2 linked regions of the Oryzias latipes genome follow. The protein of the gene in region 1 interacts with the protein of each later gene in a biochemical or structural test. Links are inferred from orthologs where the notes say so. Each region holds a gene or a part of one and is shown on either strand. Other genes may lie near its edges. The genes, in order: exoc2 and ras-related protein Ral-A.

What was found.
Region 2: the proteins of exoc2 (region 1) and ras-related protein Ral-A are reported together in a solved structure, tested with the Homo sapiens proteins (2 studies listed by BioGRID, with this or other methods). The link is inferred for Oryzias latipes from reciprocal best matches to the Homo sapiens genes EXOC2 and RALA.

What each region holds. Positions count from the first base shown.
Region 1 is NC_019862.2:21,229,667-21,236,981, reverse strand, and holds part of exoc2 (exocyst complex component 2), read right to left. Parts: coding exon 7,283-7,315; intron 5,003-7,282; coding exon 4,861-5,002; intron 1,330-4,860; coding exon 1,274-1,329; intron 1,199-1,273; coding exon 1,076-1,198; intron 888-1,075; coding exon 826-887; intron 540-825; coding exon 480-539; intron 381-479; coding exon 287-380; 3' UTR 1-286. UniProt on the Homo sapiens protein: Component of the exocyst complex involved in the docking of exocytic vesicles with fusion sites on the plasma membrane.
Region 2 is NC_019878.2:22,515,214-22,523,565, reverse strand, and holds the start of ras-related protein Ral-A, read right to left. Parts: upstream 5,289-8,352; 5' UTR 4,997-5,288; coding exon of another isoform or gene 4,906-4,996; exon of another isoform or gene 4,890-4,905; intron 4,847-4,889; exon of another isoform or gene 4,677-4,846; intron 3,530-4,676; exon of another isoform or gene 3,503-3,529; 5' UTR 3,459-3,502; coding exon 3,345-3,458; intron 3,274-3,344; coding exon 3,065-3,273; intron 1,767-3,064; coding exon 1,592-1,766; intron 1,512-1,591; coding exon 1,389-1,511; 3' UTR 1-1,388. Other genes in the region: mediator of RNA polymerase II transcription subunit 1, read left to right, coding at 4,906-4,996, 5,435-5,526, 6,856-6,931, 7,002-7,056, 7,140-7,266, 7,346-7,374, 7,907-7,978, 8,060-8,125. UniProt on the Homo sapiens protein: Multifunctional GTPase involved in a variety of cellular processes including gene expression, cell migration, cell proliferation, oncogenic transformation and membrane trafficking.

The sequences.
Region 1 (7,315 bases):
TAAACTACTTGAGTGGAGCGATTAGCATACGCAACAGCTGGGACTGTCCTGCACAGTAACAATGAAATCCACTCATTTAGTGTCAGATCAGATAAACAGACATGTGTGTGTTTCTTTTGGTGAAGCAGAAATTGAAAGTGACACTGTAAAAAAAAAAATAAAAAAATAAAAAGAACAGATGAGTAAACAATATAATGATAGATGAGGAGATAAAGTTACGGTTCGTTAGATGACTGTGAGCAGATAAAGGAGAGTAGAGTGGCGCTGTGGTGGAGCAAAAAGCAGGTCATCTTTTGACAAGCGGGATGTTGGACGACTGGAAGCAGGTGAGCTGGAGATGCATGCTGCTCTTGAACTTGTTGAGCAGCTCTTCCAGCAACCTGGAGGGGGGAGATGATAATCTCACAAATCAAATTTGTTTTTGAATTTTTCGTGGGGGCAGAAGGCTGAATTCTCAGAACATGAGATGACCGACTCACTTCTTATCGCCTCCGCTGTGGAGCTGAGGCAGAGCCTCCAGAGCCAGTTTAAAGCTGGTGCTGAAAAAAATACGGCGCTCGGTTAAGACGTTACAAGAAAAACCGCACGTTTATTAACAGATGAAAGCCAGAGTATGCAGTTCAGGATGAGTATATGTACTCCATCCTGACATGAATGCAGAAACACACACATGCACACAGCAGCACACAATAGAACCAGATTACTTTCACTTCCCTTCCAGAAGCCACTAACTAACACACAGGGATTGTTGAGAGGGATATTCCCCTGGTGAAAACTGATGTCTGTGACATTCACTGCCATAAATCACAGGGCGCACATACTTACTTGCTGTCAGGGTTTATGTATGTGGCCACAGCGTCTCTTAGGGCGCAGAGCTCAAGCCGGGCCTAAGCGAATAGAAGGAAAAAAAAAAAAAAAACTAGGTGTAGCCAAGACCAAGTGATAATTGATAAACTGTCAGCTTCTTCAACTGAGATGTGGCGTTAGAAGAAATGACATGCCCACTTCCCCCCTTAAAAAGCAAGTGCGGCGTCGGCTTATGAGTCAGGGTCTTACTATGACTGAAATCGTGTACCTGCAGGGCGCCGTTTTTGCTGAAAGAGGACACACACTGCATCAGGCGACACATCTCATCTGCAACTGATGTCACGATCCTCGAGAGAACCGGAGGAACCAGATCCTTGGAGACTGTAAAGACCTGACAAAAAAGGAGCACTTAGATCCAAACTGCAAGGAAGTCAGAGGGATGAGAGCTGATGGTCTGGGTTTGTACCTCAGCATGGACTGCGATGATGCTCACAAGAGCTTCCTTTAGGTAGTTCCTCACACCTGAGAGAGTTAAAGTACAACATTAGTAAGGAGGTTCTTCATAAGTAAAAAACAATTCGATATGAAATCTTTTACACCTGAGCTTTAGCTCCAGTGTTAACGGTCTCCTGACTACCGTAGCTTTTCAACCGTTAACGCCATTGACAGAATTTCAGTGGATTCTGAAGAGGAGAAAAGCGGCTTCGCGTCGTTATGCAAAACTTCACCTCAGTAATGTTTTACATATCGGTGCAAAGCCGATACGAAGGCTGCTTTTCTGCGCGTCAGAATCCGCTGATTCATGTTGATCATTAAAAATGGTCAAAGATTGCCGCTTTGACAAGGAGTGGGCGCCATTTAGGTATCGCCGGCAACACCTCCAATGTAAAAGGGTTAGAAAATGATGAGAGGGATTGCAGCCGACATCCTGTCGTCTTTATGGAAATTTAGACCCAATGGAGGTGTGTGGTAGTTTCTTTTTATGCATGGTTTTGCAATAATTCCAACAATTACTCTATGGCATTGGTTTTGATTTAAACTGTACTTATGCTTTCTCAGTTAAACAAACTCTTCCTATCTTTTTTTGCAGTTGAAGGACTAACTGGAACCACTTCAGTAAAAAATAAAAAAACAATATATTTTGGAATCCAATCCCAAAGACTGAGAGAAGCTGAAACCTCTGCATGTGTCTCCAGAGCAGTTTTCCAAGTTCCACTAAGCAGAGAAGCTCTCTGACCAACAAGTATTGTAAGTTTTGACTAAACTAAGTGTGAAGTCCGCTTGAAAATGTAGTAACTTCTAATCTCCATTTTGTCCTAACATTAGAAAGAAAGCAGCTGATCGCCTTCCGTGTCTGTGTTCAGAGTGCTTAGGCGTCAAAACTACAGCCTCAGTGAAAAAGAAGCAACACGTCTGTAAAGTTCCCACTTTAGCAACATGAACCCAACAGACCTTTTAGTAAATGCAGCGGCGGACCGTGCGTTACACACCTGGGCCTTCAGTAGTGCTACGTCTGAATCACTCACTCCCTCATGAACCCTTTTACGAGGCAAAAACGAGCTTTGCATTGCATATTGAAAATTCCTGTAGCCACAAATAAATGCCTCTAAATAAGCTGAATAAACAAAACAGTAAACAAATCTCGTTATGCTACTACAGCCAGGAAAAAAACATTGAAAAAAAACACATACATTTGGAATAATATTTATTATGATACTTATCATTTCACTCATCAAAAAATCTGATTATTTGAAGACAAAATTCGTCCTCCTCTCTTTCATCAAAAACAGTTTGATGACCCTGTCATGTAGATTATCACGCTTCAGTTCCATCAAGTCCTTTTCATTTCCTTCAAGGTCAGTGCTGAAAGCGAGTCTTTCCAGTTGTGATTCTGGGTAAGTTTTAATTTGCTTTAGAGCTGAAAATGTCCGCTCGACAGATGCAGTGGACGCGGGGATGGTCAGCGCCAAACACACAAATCTGTACAGCTGATTCACGATCTCACAGATTTTTCTGATAAAGTCAAGGAGATCAGTGGGAGATTTTCCTGCAAAATCGCATACATTACAGTCAGCTCTGTTTTTAACCAAGACAGATCAAAAAATGCTCCGTGGTTCTTTGTCAAACTGGGCAAGGCTGCATGTGGGAAATGTTTCCTGTATTCCTGAAACTTCTGTCCAATCAGAGGGTCTGAATACCGTGATGCTGCCTAAGCCTGCTAGAAGGCCCTGCTGACACCAACTCAAAATCTGATTGGTTGACAGAAATGAATGTCCGACATTAGATCTCGCAGTATAGAACCTTCAGTACCGATGGTGAAGGCCTCTTTAGCTCTGACCCTGCCTAGCAAGAAAGGACAGCTGAAATGCGATTGGTTAAATGCACCAATATGAAAACACATGGATGCAGCAAAACCATCATAAACACACTTAAATAGAATGGACAGACCAATTGGAATGATTTAATGAGTATGCATGGACAAAATATAATTAACACATGATTCAGATATTTTTAGGCCTTCAGAGAAGGCCTTGAAGGCCCTGACGGCCCACCACTGAGTAAATGGTTTCCACGGGTTAACCGAAGCTGCTAAAAATTAGCAACACATCTTTAGCCCGCAATGCTAATCGTACTACAGAGAACGAGTCATTCTGCAATCACTGTTACTAGTAATCATTGGTTTAGAAGTGGAAGTGACTCGGAGCTTTGGACATTGCTTAAGTTGGGCATTTTTCCACTAAAACTCGTCAAAGTTTCTCCTCTGTGGTTTGCTCCATTCTTCTTGTTTTCGTCATTCCTGCGTTCGGCGCCACTGTGTGAAGCTGTTAAAGACGTGAAACCAAAAACTGAGAACGTGTTCAAGGAATCCTATTTCACAGCTTCTTAGACTATTGAAAGTAGGACACAAGTGTATTGAAAGTATATCGATGACTTTAGGAATTTAACCGCCAGAGCTTTTTCTAAAATGCTAACGTTTAGCAGTTGAGCAAAACTGTACACCATGTAACTGCCATAATAGGAAAATAAACAGATCATGATACATTTCTTGTGTGCATCATAGTTTTGCCTTTTTCAGCAGTGTATGATGGTGCAGACAGCCCAAATTCAGAGATTATAATTCTTTATTTATTTGATGAATTGTTATCTTGTTGGCAAAACACAAATCCAGAAATCCTAATGTTCCAGAGCACAACCAAGTAGAGGAAAGATGTTTGTCTTCCTATAAATATAACTTAAGACACTTTCTAATAAAATCAATCATTTCTTGCGTTTAAAAAATGCACAGAAGGCCAGAATTTGCTGATGCCTAATTGTATTGTCAATAAAAGAGCAGTACTTTAAAATAAACCAAACACTAAAATCTGTAAGTGACATAGACAAAAGCAGCAACAAAAAAAAACGTACTGAAACCGGATTCTCGATGCCCTGCAACACCCCACACGCTAAAATAGGACCGACACAAGGAGTGCGACAAGTGAAAGTATCATATCCTAGAACTGTGGTTTGCTGTCCATAATGTTCCTCTTTCGGATGTAAGCTCAAACATGAACTTTCAGAGGAAGCAACAAACCTGTGTGGGGCTCACACTTTTTTTTGTTGTCAAGACAAGGTAAAAAAAAAAAAAAAAAAGGCTAAACCGTAGCCCTTTCTGACAGATTCACTAGCTCTGTTTTGTTGCTTCACATCCTGCGTTAGGTTCAACCGCACACTCATATTAAAGTTTCACCTTTGTTTGTAAAGCTTGAGGGAGAAATGTCAATGTAAAGTAAAAAATTACTTCACACCCACACCTCCACAGAAAAGGCCGTGAGAGCTTGAGGAAGAAGAGCGAGAGCATGAACTCAGCAGTGTTTACAGTAAGGCTTCAAAGAGCTGTACTTCATACATGACACACTCTAACCACAACTGAGCTGAAGAGACCAAAGTCACCAGGTTTTGACTAAACAAGTCTGCTGGTGGCTGATCTCTCATGCTCCTTGGGTCAATGAGTGGTGATGGTGGGGGTTTCCCTCATGGTCTCAAACGCGGCTCCTGGCATTCATCAGGTGATACCTGACGGCGTCTGGCAGTCCCTCCAGTCAAAGTATCCAGCGTAGATTCCAGGCTCTAGGGAGCCGGCGATGGGGTCGGCACGCCGCTCGATGTAAGCTTCAAAGAGTTTCCGGTCCAGCTCTCGGATGGCGTCCATGCTCACCTGGAGGACGAGGAGGGAAAGAGAAAGATGGCTGCTGTCATCTATTTCTTTGGACATGACCTTGTAAGTGGAAAGTAAAAAAGAAATTAAAAAGAATAAAAAGTGGATTAAGCTGCTTACATCGCCATCTGCAACACGTTCAAGAGATCACTTCCATTGAAAAGTCTTTGTAAACGCACATATATGTGCGTTAGGGCATCTGTGTTCAACACTTTAGCATTCATGTGTCGCTACGCACAATTTTAGGACTGTTTTTAGGCTCCATGTACAAAACATGCTGTCATCAAAAGCATGTTGAAAGTTAAACAAGTTTGATCTTTGACCAATCAGAGACTCTGATTTGGTAGTGACGCATGGATGGCATCCCTTTAATTGACGGAAGTGCCCAACGTTTGAAAATTGATCGTGGAAGAGAAATTAACAGCTGCACGTTGGGCTCAGCCGTTATTCTATGACAGCAAGTCTTTCATATCTCAGAATAGAACTGTGAGAATTGTAGCAAGATTCATAAGGTTTGCAGGGCTTTGACATTTCGAACCAAGCCTCTTCCAACTTTAGGCACATGCGCTAGTATGGGTAGTGACAGTCCAGTGTGAACAAATGTACAAACAAACAAATGTGTGCTAAATGTCCGTTTAACATTGGATCCATTCCTGCACTTTTAGAGCAGCAGAATGCAGTACTTATGCTTTCATTCCAGAGAGATTCTGTTTGAACGGATCTAATGTTTACTATCCTTTGACATGCTTGGCTGAGGAGCAAAGTGACATCCAGACCTGGGTCTTAAACACATCCATAAGCATAACCTAAAGCAGAAAAATTGAAATGTGTTATTATGAATCTTTTTTCCTCTTTGTGTTGTTCTGCAGTGTGGAGAAACACAAAGATTTTCAAAAAGAAAAGAAAAAAGGTTTAATACTATGATCGACTATTTTTTTCTTTGCCATCAGCTTAATTCTTGGCTGGAAGAGAGATGGAATTAAATATTATGAAAGAGTTGGCTTACGCCATTGACTATAAAGGAGAACTGGACTGACTTTGTTCTGGCTCCAACCAAATGAAGTCAATTCAGTCGCCATTTTTTCGCAATGTAGATGTTGCCATGTTGGAGCCAGAAATCGTAAGTAAGCAGTGATTGGTCCAAATCAGTTTGAGTCATCGTTTCTATGGCGACCACTCTTGCCAACCAGGAGTAAGCTTGTTGAAAGGTCACACCCCTATCTTTTGAAAGTGGTCTTGGTAGAATCTGTCAATCAAACTTTTCAAACAATTGACTTAAAACGCATACCTTCATTGAGGCATCTGATTGTTCAGTGAATATACTTGAATAACTTGAAATAAAGAATAATAATAATGGTAAATAAAGAGGATTAGCAAAAAATGTAGCAGAGTAAGAACGGTTATTCCTACAAATGGAATGATTGAGCAATAGCCGTTTATTTCTCTGAAAAAGTCTAGCTTCTTGGAACCAGCAGGTACTTCCTGTTTGGAATGCAAGGGGGGAGGAGTCACTCAGTCCAGTTCTCAAATATAGTCAATGGTTTGAACTGAGGCTTAATTGAAATAGACCCCCCCCCCCCCCAATTTTTATTTATAAATAATAGGTCTAAACCCTCCTAAATTAATTTTTCAGGCATCAAGATGGATTTTTTTAAAATCTTGTATATCCTTCAATCTGACATTGGAGTAACACTGCAAAGAAACCAGACTGAGACAAAGAGTAAAAGAACCAACTTAGCACACTACATAAGTTAGCACAATCTGAACTGGTCACATGGTGTGTTTGTGAGCAGCTGCTAGCATTATTTATGCTGCTCTGACACCAGCTCCTATTAATAATGCTGTAAAGGCAGCATGTGCAGCAGTGGTACAACCCTTCAATACTTTCTTCTTTTTCTTGTTTACCGTTAAATGTGTTTAATGTGGAGCAGCACAGCTCAGCAGTCTAGACAAATTATCATAGGCATCATGCTTTCGGGTCTAATTCAAACTTTTAACTTAATCTTTCAAATAAAGTGAGTTTTTACAGGAAAATCAACAGATCAAACCCTTCTTAGCTTTGTGATTCAGCCATTAGTCATTGTGTGCAGCAGTGTGACTATGTTGAGAACAGAGGTGAAAAGTGTGACTTTTTCTTTTCATTAGTCATCCCTTTGCTGAGAAACGAAAAAAAACACACAGATCAGTTTAGTTGTTGTAGTTTGTTTTCTTCTCATGACGCCTCCACACTTCTCCTCAATAGGAGTGTAACAGCTGCAGGTCACAGCAGCAGGTACTGACCCGCGTGATCTTCTCTGTTCCCGTGAAGCCGTG
Region 2 (8,352 bases), on another chromosome or scaffold:
GAAGAACATTAGACTTTTAAAAACACGAACCATCTGCATCTGTGCTCCAAGATCACTTCCTCTTTGCTCATTTATATAGAATCGGGGTTTTTTTCTTTGCCCTTTGACCGCCTCAGATGAGCCACACCGACAGACGCAGAACGCACGAACGAGCCGTCGGATTAGGGGGCAAACGGGACGAGAGAGAGAGCGGACGTTATTCACATTCACAATGGACAGAGAGGCAACAGTGATGCAATGCACAGGGTTACTAAAGCCGTCATAACCTTGCATTTCCTCGCAGGCGGTCCAGAGCTAAATATTTTGCTTTCCATGACACCCAGTTGATCTTTGAGGTCTCACACAGACATTGTAGTGCTTCTTGTTTTTTTAATAATCCGTTTTCTGTATGGCAGGTTTTCAGACACTTACATTAGTGAGCGGGCACTTGTTTGAACTAGCTAGCTGTTTTCTTTGGTAACCGACAGCATCGTTTTTGAACAGGTACCACTTCACTTTTTTTCTTTTTTTTAAGCATACTCCAACTCTTTGAAAATAAATGTCAAAAAACAAAAAAAAAAGTGGGATTTAAAGTCAGCGATTAAAGTGAGTTGAAAACATGAACGAGTGCAGCGCGTAAAAGGTTTAGTGTTACGGAATCACCTTTTATCAGAGCACCAGAGATTCCTCTATTCTGAAAAGGAAATAACATTTTGAGATGAAATAAACTAAAAGCTGAGAAACATCTGAAAAGTTCAAGTGTTTTGTTGTTTAAATTCCCTAAAGGGTGAAGGTTATTTGTGCATTTGAGGAGACCTGGAGAAGAGGGAAGGAAATGGAAGCGTTAGTGCTCTTTTCTACATGTGTTGATCACAGACAGACACAAAAAATAAAAACTTCCACATGGAATATTTGCAAAGTAAGAAGGAATGGCATTGAATTTCATTTCCACCGTGACACTGAGCGTGTCCTTGAACTCCAACTGTCTACTCATCTAAAGCAGACGGTGTCGCGTTAGCGTGGATCGGGGGCTTTTCTGTTTCCTCTTGAAACCTGGGCTCTCAACTCTTTCTCAGCCTAAGCGCACTGCAACGTTTTTTTAAGGATGTTTCACACACAAAACTATACAACAAAAGCTTGTCAGGGCTTATTATTGAGCTTCAGCCTAAATGTAAAAAACAAAACATCCATCTAATGACCCTGTTGTTGAGAGAAGAAGGAAGATAAAGTATTTGGAGTGTCAGAACATAAAAAGTTAGAGCTATAAGTGGTGAATGGAGCGCCACCGTTCTACGGCCTGACCCTCAGTCAAATGTCCTCTCGGCCACTAACGCAAGGTTACGGTCAGGTTTGGGCACAAAATAAATGCAAACGTCTGAGAAATGTGCGCGTACTTCAGCATCACACCACTATAAAATACAGCATCGCTCTCTGATTCTTTTGGCCAAACTTTTGCTTTTCTTCTTCCCGTTCTTCTCTTTGCTGTCCTCCATTTTCCTCGCTCGGATTTCTCTCATCAGGTCGAAAAACACCTAAACAAAAGCAGACAAGCGACAGAAAGGAGTTGCAGATCTTTATGAACGAGGCCGTCGCTCAGCGCGCCGACACCAACCTTGTCAACGTTGGCACGGGTTTTGGCAGAAGTTTCCACGTAGCTGACTCCCCACTGCTCCGCGCGGGCCTTGGCCTCCTCGGCGCTGACCTGCCGCCGGTCGTCCAGGTCCGACTTGTTACCGACCAGGAGGAAGGGCACGCTCTCGTCCTCCTTCACCCGCAGAATCTGCTCCCTGTAGGGCAGCCAATGTGGGTCAGACGTGAAACCTGTCATCCAACGTCTGCCAGCATGAGCTGACGTGGGTCAATTCATTGATTCATGACCATATAGATCGTTTTTGATGGCATTTACTTTTTCTTTTCTTTCAGAATAGCAAAAGCATTTTAGGAAAGTTTTAAAAGAACTTGAGGGCTTTTAAAAAAAAGAATCAAAATTTCCACAAAGTTTGAAATAAAGAGAGCAAAGTTTAAAAACATTTCAGCAGAAAGTTTTGGCTTTTTAACCCATAGTATTCTGGAGGCTTGAGCTTTTTTTCCTACTTTAAAAATTGCTCCAATAGTTTATCCTTACAACAGTTCAGTTTTTCATTAGAAAACCCAATAATTCCACAATGTATCTGAAACTGTCCAAACAAAAAAACTCAACTTTTGTTTGTTTTAAACCAAAATTGTCAAAATCTAAAAAGTTTGTGAAACCTTCACGTTAACTTTTGATACGAGGAAAACTGGCGATATTAATGATCAATATTGCGATGACGATATATAAACTAATAGCAATAACCAAATTCATCATTTCCATTTCACTGCAACAGTTTAATTAAAATAAGAGTCAACATAACTCCTAATGACCCTCGTCTACATAACAGGGGTCCACCCCATTGGTCAAATGCATAAAGGGATTTATTTAAATTGTGAAAAGCTTCAAACTGCCATAATATTGTTTAAAAAAATTTTTTATTGCACAGCTTGATATCACAATAACGATAAATTTGCGATTCTCTGTACAAGCCTAGCTCTAAGAATTAAACACCAGTTTAAAATCAATTCATTCAATTGTTCAGATAATCCAGCATTACAGGCATTAAAGCAAAAAAGGAGAACAGGTTTGTCTCTCACCAAACCGTACTTTGAATACATTTTAACTTTGGCATTCAACTTAACAGTTTTGCATTATTTCTGCTGTTTTATAATAAACCCAGCCCCCTCCTCGTTTCAACCCCTTATTACTTTCTACAGAGTGTCAACCAGACAGGTACCACGTCCCATTTTTAGTCTTTAGTATGACCTCACCGTGGACTTGAACCCCCGACCTCCCATTCTTTAGGTGTGCTTCATTAAACATTTGAACAGTAGTTGATGGGAAGAGCGTGTGATGCACAGAAACTTAATTAGGACGATAATAAAGTCAAAAAATGTCTGCAGAGGTCTTTGGATGAGATTGGGGGGGGGGGGGGGGGGTCAAACCCAACACGAAGATCAGAGTTTGGCGATTTTAGAAGCGTGTTGTCGAGGCGACGTTAAAAACATTCACCTGAAGTCTACTGTTGCTGCAAAGGACTCCAATTCTGTGATGGAAAACACGCAGAGGAAACCTTCGCCGCTGCGGAAGTAATTATCCCGGATGGCTGCGTAGTCCTCTTGGCCGGCCGTATCAAGGATGTCGATCTGCACCTCCTCTCCATCCAGCACCACTTTCTTCCTGTAGCTGTCTGCTTTAGTGGGCTCGTAATCTTCCACAAACTGGAACACACGGCATTGTGGGTTATGGCCAGAAGATCTCCTTCGACATGAGTCTGTGATGAGCGGCTCACCTCATCGTACATGAACTGCAGGGTCAGCGCAGACTTCCCCACTCCTCCACTGCCCACCATGATCACTTTGTGGAGAGCTAGAGAGTTCTGGCCTTTTGGTTTTGCAGCTGCCATGACGCCGTGAAGCAGAGGAAGTGAAGACCTTAGAAAATGTCCAGCTGTGGAAAAGGACTAAATGAAAATTCCTGTGGAGATTAAAACAACAAAAAAAGAAGAAATTGCATCATAATTTCCCTGCAAGAAAAGGGCAAATCCAAGACAATTTGGATGTCAAGTGTGATGCAGAGAGGAATTGAGTGAATTAAGCATTTAAGATAACCTTATTTAACATGTTTAGAATCTCTTTTAGATCAAACTACATACATGTGACACGTCTGTTAAAGTGGACCCGTCTTTGACTGTACAGGACTTTTCAAAAGTTCTGCAACGTTCCAGGAAAGAGACACCAGATGTGACTTTATTTTTTATGCAAGATGTGCAAAACAAAAGTCAAGGACTTATGGGAAAAGCCATCTCAGCTGTCATCCTCCCTCCCTCCCTATCTTTCCAACATTGGCTCTTCAAGACTTGAAAGCAACCAAAGCGACTGGAAAACACAACATCTGGAAGTTTCTGTATGGTCGTAAATCCACTCGGATGCAAATGACAGATGTTTACATGTTACTCTATCATAATGGTCTGTCGGACGGATGAGAAAAGAAGTGTTCAGCTCGGAGGCCCTAAGCTTACCAGGCCAAAGCCAAACCTCTGGGGATCAGAGATAAATAAACACGGGAATCCTGCCAGAACATCATTAAACAAATTGACAAAAATGGACCCGAGCATCGACAGGCGATTTAACAATTCAGCATATGAAGCCAATTCTCCATTACGGTAATAGTTTTAAAGCAGCAGAATGATCGAAAGTGGGAACGTCAGCTGGCCGGACTGAGAGGCGTTTCTGCAGCTTCACGGCTATAGAAACATTCATCAAACAATCTTAAGGCATAAAGAAATGCGGATTTATAGCGGATAATGACAGTCATTCAGGCGCAGCAGCAGTGATTACAACGACGTCGCTGTCATGAAGCTGCATTTTTAAACGACAACAACAGAGCACACAATGGGATTAGTCTGACTGCACCGATGACTAAACGGGCGGCGGTTGAAATTACCAGACACGGTCCCACGCACGTCCACAGACCCTGTATCATCAACGAGGGGGTAACTTGTTAACAAGTTAGTAGCTGTCAATAAAATGTAGCTAGCTGCCTGACTGACGATGTAGCTAAAAACACTCAGGTTAGCCGCACCTGCGTGGAATAATTAGTTGCTGGAGTTCCGAAAACGTACCGGTTCGGTGTGGAGGTCTTCTTGAGGTCCGGTTCTATTTGAGAGCAGCAACAGATGCTCGAACACGGGCTTCAAACCCAGCAGTTTTTATTTTATTTAGTCGCTAGCAAAGCACACACAGGGGAAGAGCTAACGCGCTCGCGGCTAATCAACTAACTAACCCGACTAAAAAAAAATACAAACAGAAAAAAAAAATCCAAAAAGAGGAATTAGGAACCAGCTGGAGCAGATGAACAAAGGGCTCTGTGGGAGGAAACACCTACCGGTACACCCAAGTATTCCCGAGGCGGAAGAGTCGACGCAGAGGCGGAATTGTGATGGTAAAATAAAAAAAGAGTCAGCTAGCTGCTCGTTAGCTCATGGCTAGCTGTGTGTGAGCAGCGGCGGGCGGGCGGACTGCACCTCCTGTGGGCTTGGCTCCTGCTGACAACGCCCGCCCGCCCGCCCGGGAGAGCCAGACAAGCCGGCTCACTTTTGTGTCTGGGTTGATTTATCAAACTTGCAATGACGAAAAAACACACAACGCAATGAATTAATCGTCTTCTGTTATGATAAAATATCGTAAAAACACCAGAGTCCGCGCGCTAAATGGTATAAATGACCCGGATGATTGGCATAAACGGTGGCAGGTTTGTCCTATATAAGCCATTTCTCTGAGTGTTTCAACGTTGGAGAGTGGATCAGTAACTAACTGTAGAAAGATATATCATCAAAACACAGACGTCTGTTTGTTTTTTTAAATATATTTTTGTTTGCAGTCATGAAGAGAAGCAGCTTAATTTCCGGCCTGCAGCTGAAGTTTGCACAGAGGAGCTGGAATGACACTCTTCTGCTTGTTCAAAGGTGCATGGTGAGCACAAATGTCTTTAAATTATATTTGACTTTTGTTATTTTGGTTTAACGATTTCTAGCTTTTCCTGTTTTTTTTCTTTCTTGTTTTCCCGTTTCTGTTTATTCTAGTATCTTCACCATTTTTTTTTTGCCGCTTAACTCCTTCTACAATTTTTCAGCTATTTCAACCATTCAACTATTCAAATGTTCAGCTCTTTCATCTTTTTCCAGCTTTGACTTTTGGTCCTACAAATCCTTGAACTTTTCAAGATATTCCAGGATTTCCAGGATTTCTGCCTCCATTGAAATAAATGGGGAATCCTTGGTGCAGAAGCTCGCCGGTTCGAATCCCGGCTCTGGCATTTTTTCTTATTTGTTTATTGTGCTGTTTTTACTTTATTTATGGTCAACTTTGATCATTCATTTATTTATTTATTTTTGCCAGTTATTACCCTTTAAGTTTCATTTTCACTCTGTAATACAGCATTCAACCCTGCATTTTCTTCTGGAAATGCAGCTCCTTCTAGTTTTTAACTAAGTCATCCTAAAGTAGTTTAAAGTTTCACTTTCATCCTCCTCTGTATTAATTTCTTAATGATGATTATGCTGTTTTTAGCCAACCCCGTGTTGTTTTCTAGGACATAGTTTCTGCAGAGCGGCATCATTTCAGGAGAAATTTGCCTCTGAGTTGTGCATTTCTCTATATCTGTCCTCCAGCCTTAAGAAAAATGCCACAGAAACACAATTTTCATGCAATAGCTAATATCTGTTGTCTGCAGCGTTACTAAATTCTTTGTCTTGTTCATTAAAGTGTTTTTAAATTGAGCTTTTTACACATCTGCATCATGAAACTTAAGTAAAGTCTGCAGGTTTTTGTGGTCAGTGAGTGTGAACAGCAAAAGCTCAGCGTGCTCATGAAGGTTTCCGTCCAAACTTGTGTGCAAGCAGAGTTTTCTTTAGATTTGTCATGGGTGGAGGAGCAGAGTCGGTAATTCTAGTGGATTTATTCAGAGTGGAGCTTGGCAGCGGTCCGTCCCTGGAGTCTGCTAAAGAAACACGATTACGCGGCGGTCTGAAATGATGTGTGGTCCGAGGGGATTGGGCAGATGGGGTTATAGTTGGACGCATTTCTGAGCAGCAGTCTTGCAGGCTGGGGTTTTTTAAAATGGCCATTTTTCATTCAAAAGTTAGTTTTTTTTAGCTTCAGGTATTGAAATTCAGCTGTCTGTTTGGCGTCAGGCAGCGTTTGTTCCCGGGGAGGATGGGTTCACGGGACCAGAGAGCGTTGAGCAAACCAACAAGTCGTCTATTGTTGCTTCTTTTCCCGCCTCCTTTTGTTCCCCAACAGGAGAAATCCAGAATTGAATCAAAGCCTTGTGAACCACTGGTTCGATCCCTGGAAAGACTCCAGGATGTGCTTCATGGTAAACAATCCTCCCAGCACTTCTTTGGGCATTTTATTAGTGTTTTTATTATTATTTTTTAACGTTTCAGCTCCTTGCAGAAGTGTGACGAGGTCCCGTTTGGAAATGATAGCCCAGCAACAAGGGTAAAGCGAAGCAGTCACGGAAAACACCTTTGAATCAACATTCTGATCACATTCTGACATTCGTTTGAACGTTTCCTCCCAAGGATGGGGTTTCACGTCACAGAAGACACGTGTTACCTTACCGCCGACCTGTTTTACCTGGAGGTGCTGCTGCCGCCGTGTGGTGGCGTGCAGGAGGTGAAGGTGGCGCTTCACGGAGAAGGTCCTGTCGTAAGTAGACTTGTTCATGTATGATGTAGCGTTTGCTTTTCACTCCATTTGTTAATTAAATAACATTTTTTTTCTGCAGCCCAGCGAGTCTTTTCTGAAGACACTGAGGTAAGAGGACGAGGAACGTTAACGTTTTTTTTTTGTTTTTTGCCACAAGGATACAAATTAGTTTATCATTTTCTGTAAAAATATGCAGCCATAACTAAAATGCTGTGAATTGCAACAATTCAGAGGAAAAAGCTGCACATTCTGAATTCAGAAATAAGACAAAAGGATGTGATGCTGAACTTTAAATGGAATATTTAAAAAAAAAAGTTATTATTTTTCTCAGAAATAAAAATTACTTAAAGATCACCTGGAACTATTATAATGGATAAGAGAAGCTAAGTGATGAAGCTGAAAATGAACTCACACAAAAAAGAAAACGACTAAAATAAGTTGAAATGCCAGAAAATTAGACTGAATTCAGGACAAACGACAACTATGCAGAGAAAGCCTTAAATGCTTCATTAATTAAATGCTTTAATGGATAAAACATCAAAGCACACTTGCTAATCTACCTGTAGGAAGTGTTAAATGGCTCTCCAGCTTTTATTTTGAAAAAGACTTATAACTATGGTTGTAAATGTTGATGCCATAGATCCGAAGACTTTGCTGCGTTCTCCACGAGGCTGAAAGACCTTTTCACTCAGTACAACATCCCTGGAGACAAGTACGCTCTCGAACGACGTCTTTTATTTTGGCTAAAAGGTTCTTTTATGACAATTTAGTCGTTCTTTTATTTTTTTTCTAGTGAAATCAAATTGAAACTGTTGGAGTCTCTACAGTTTCTTGTACGAGATTTGCAGAAAATGACAGGGTGAGTACAAGAACTATCATTTATTTAATTTATTTTTTTAATAGAGCCGCTGTGATGGAAAGTGTTTTTTAGTGTTTTAAACATTTTTCTGATGATGGAGGAAAAGAAAGAAGCTTAAAATTGCATTAAAGGAACAAAAAGGGGAAAAAAAGACGTATTTGTGACGTTTGACAGTTTTTTTTATTTTTTATTTTGGCCAAAAAACACACCGCCGCCATAATTGAAAG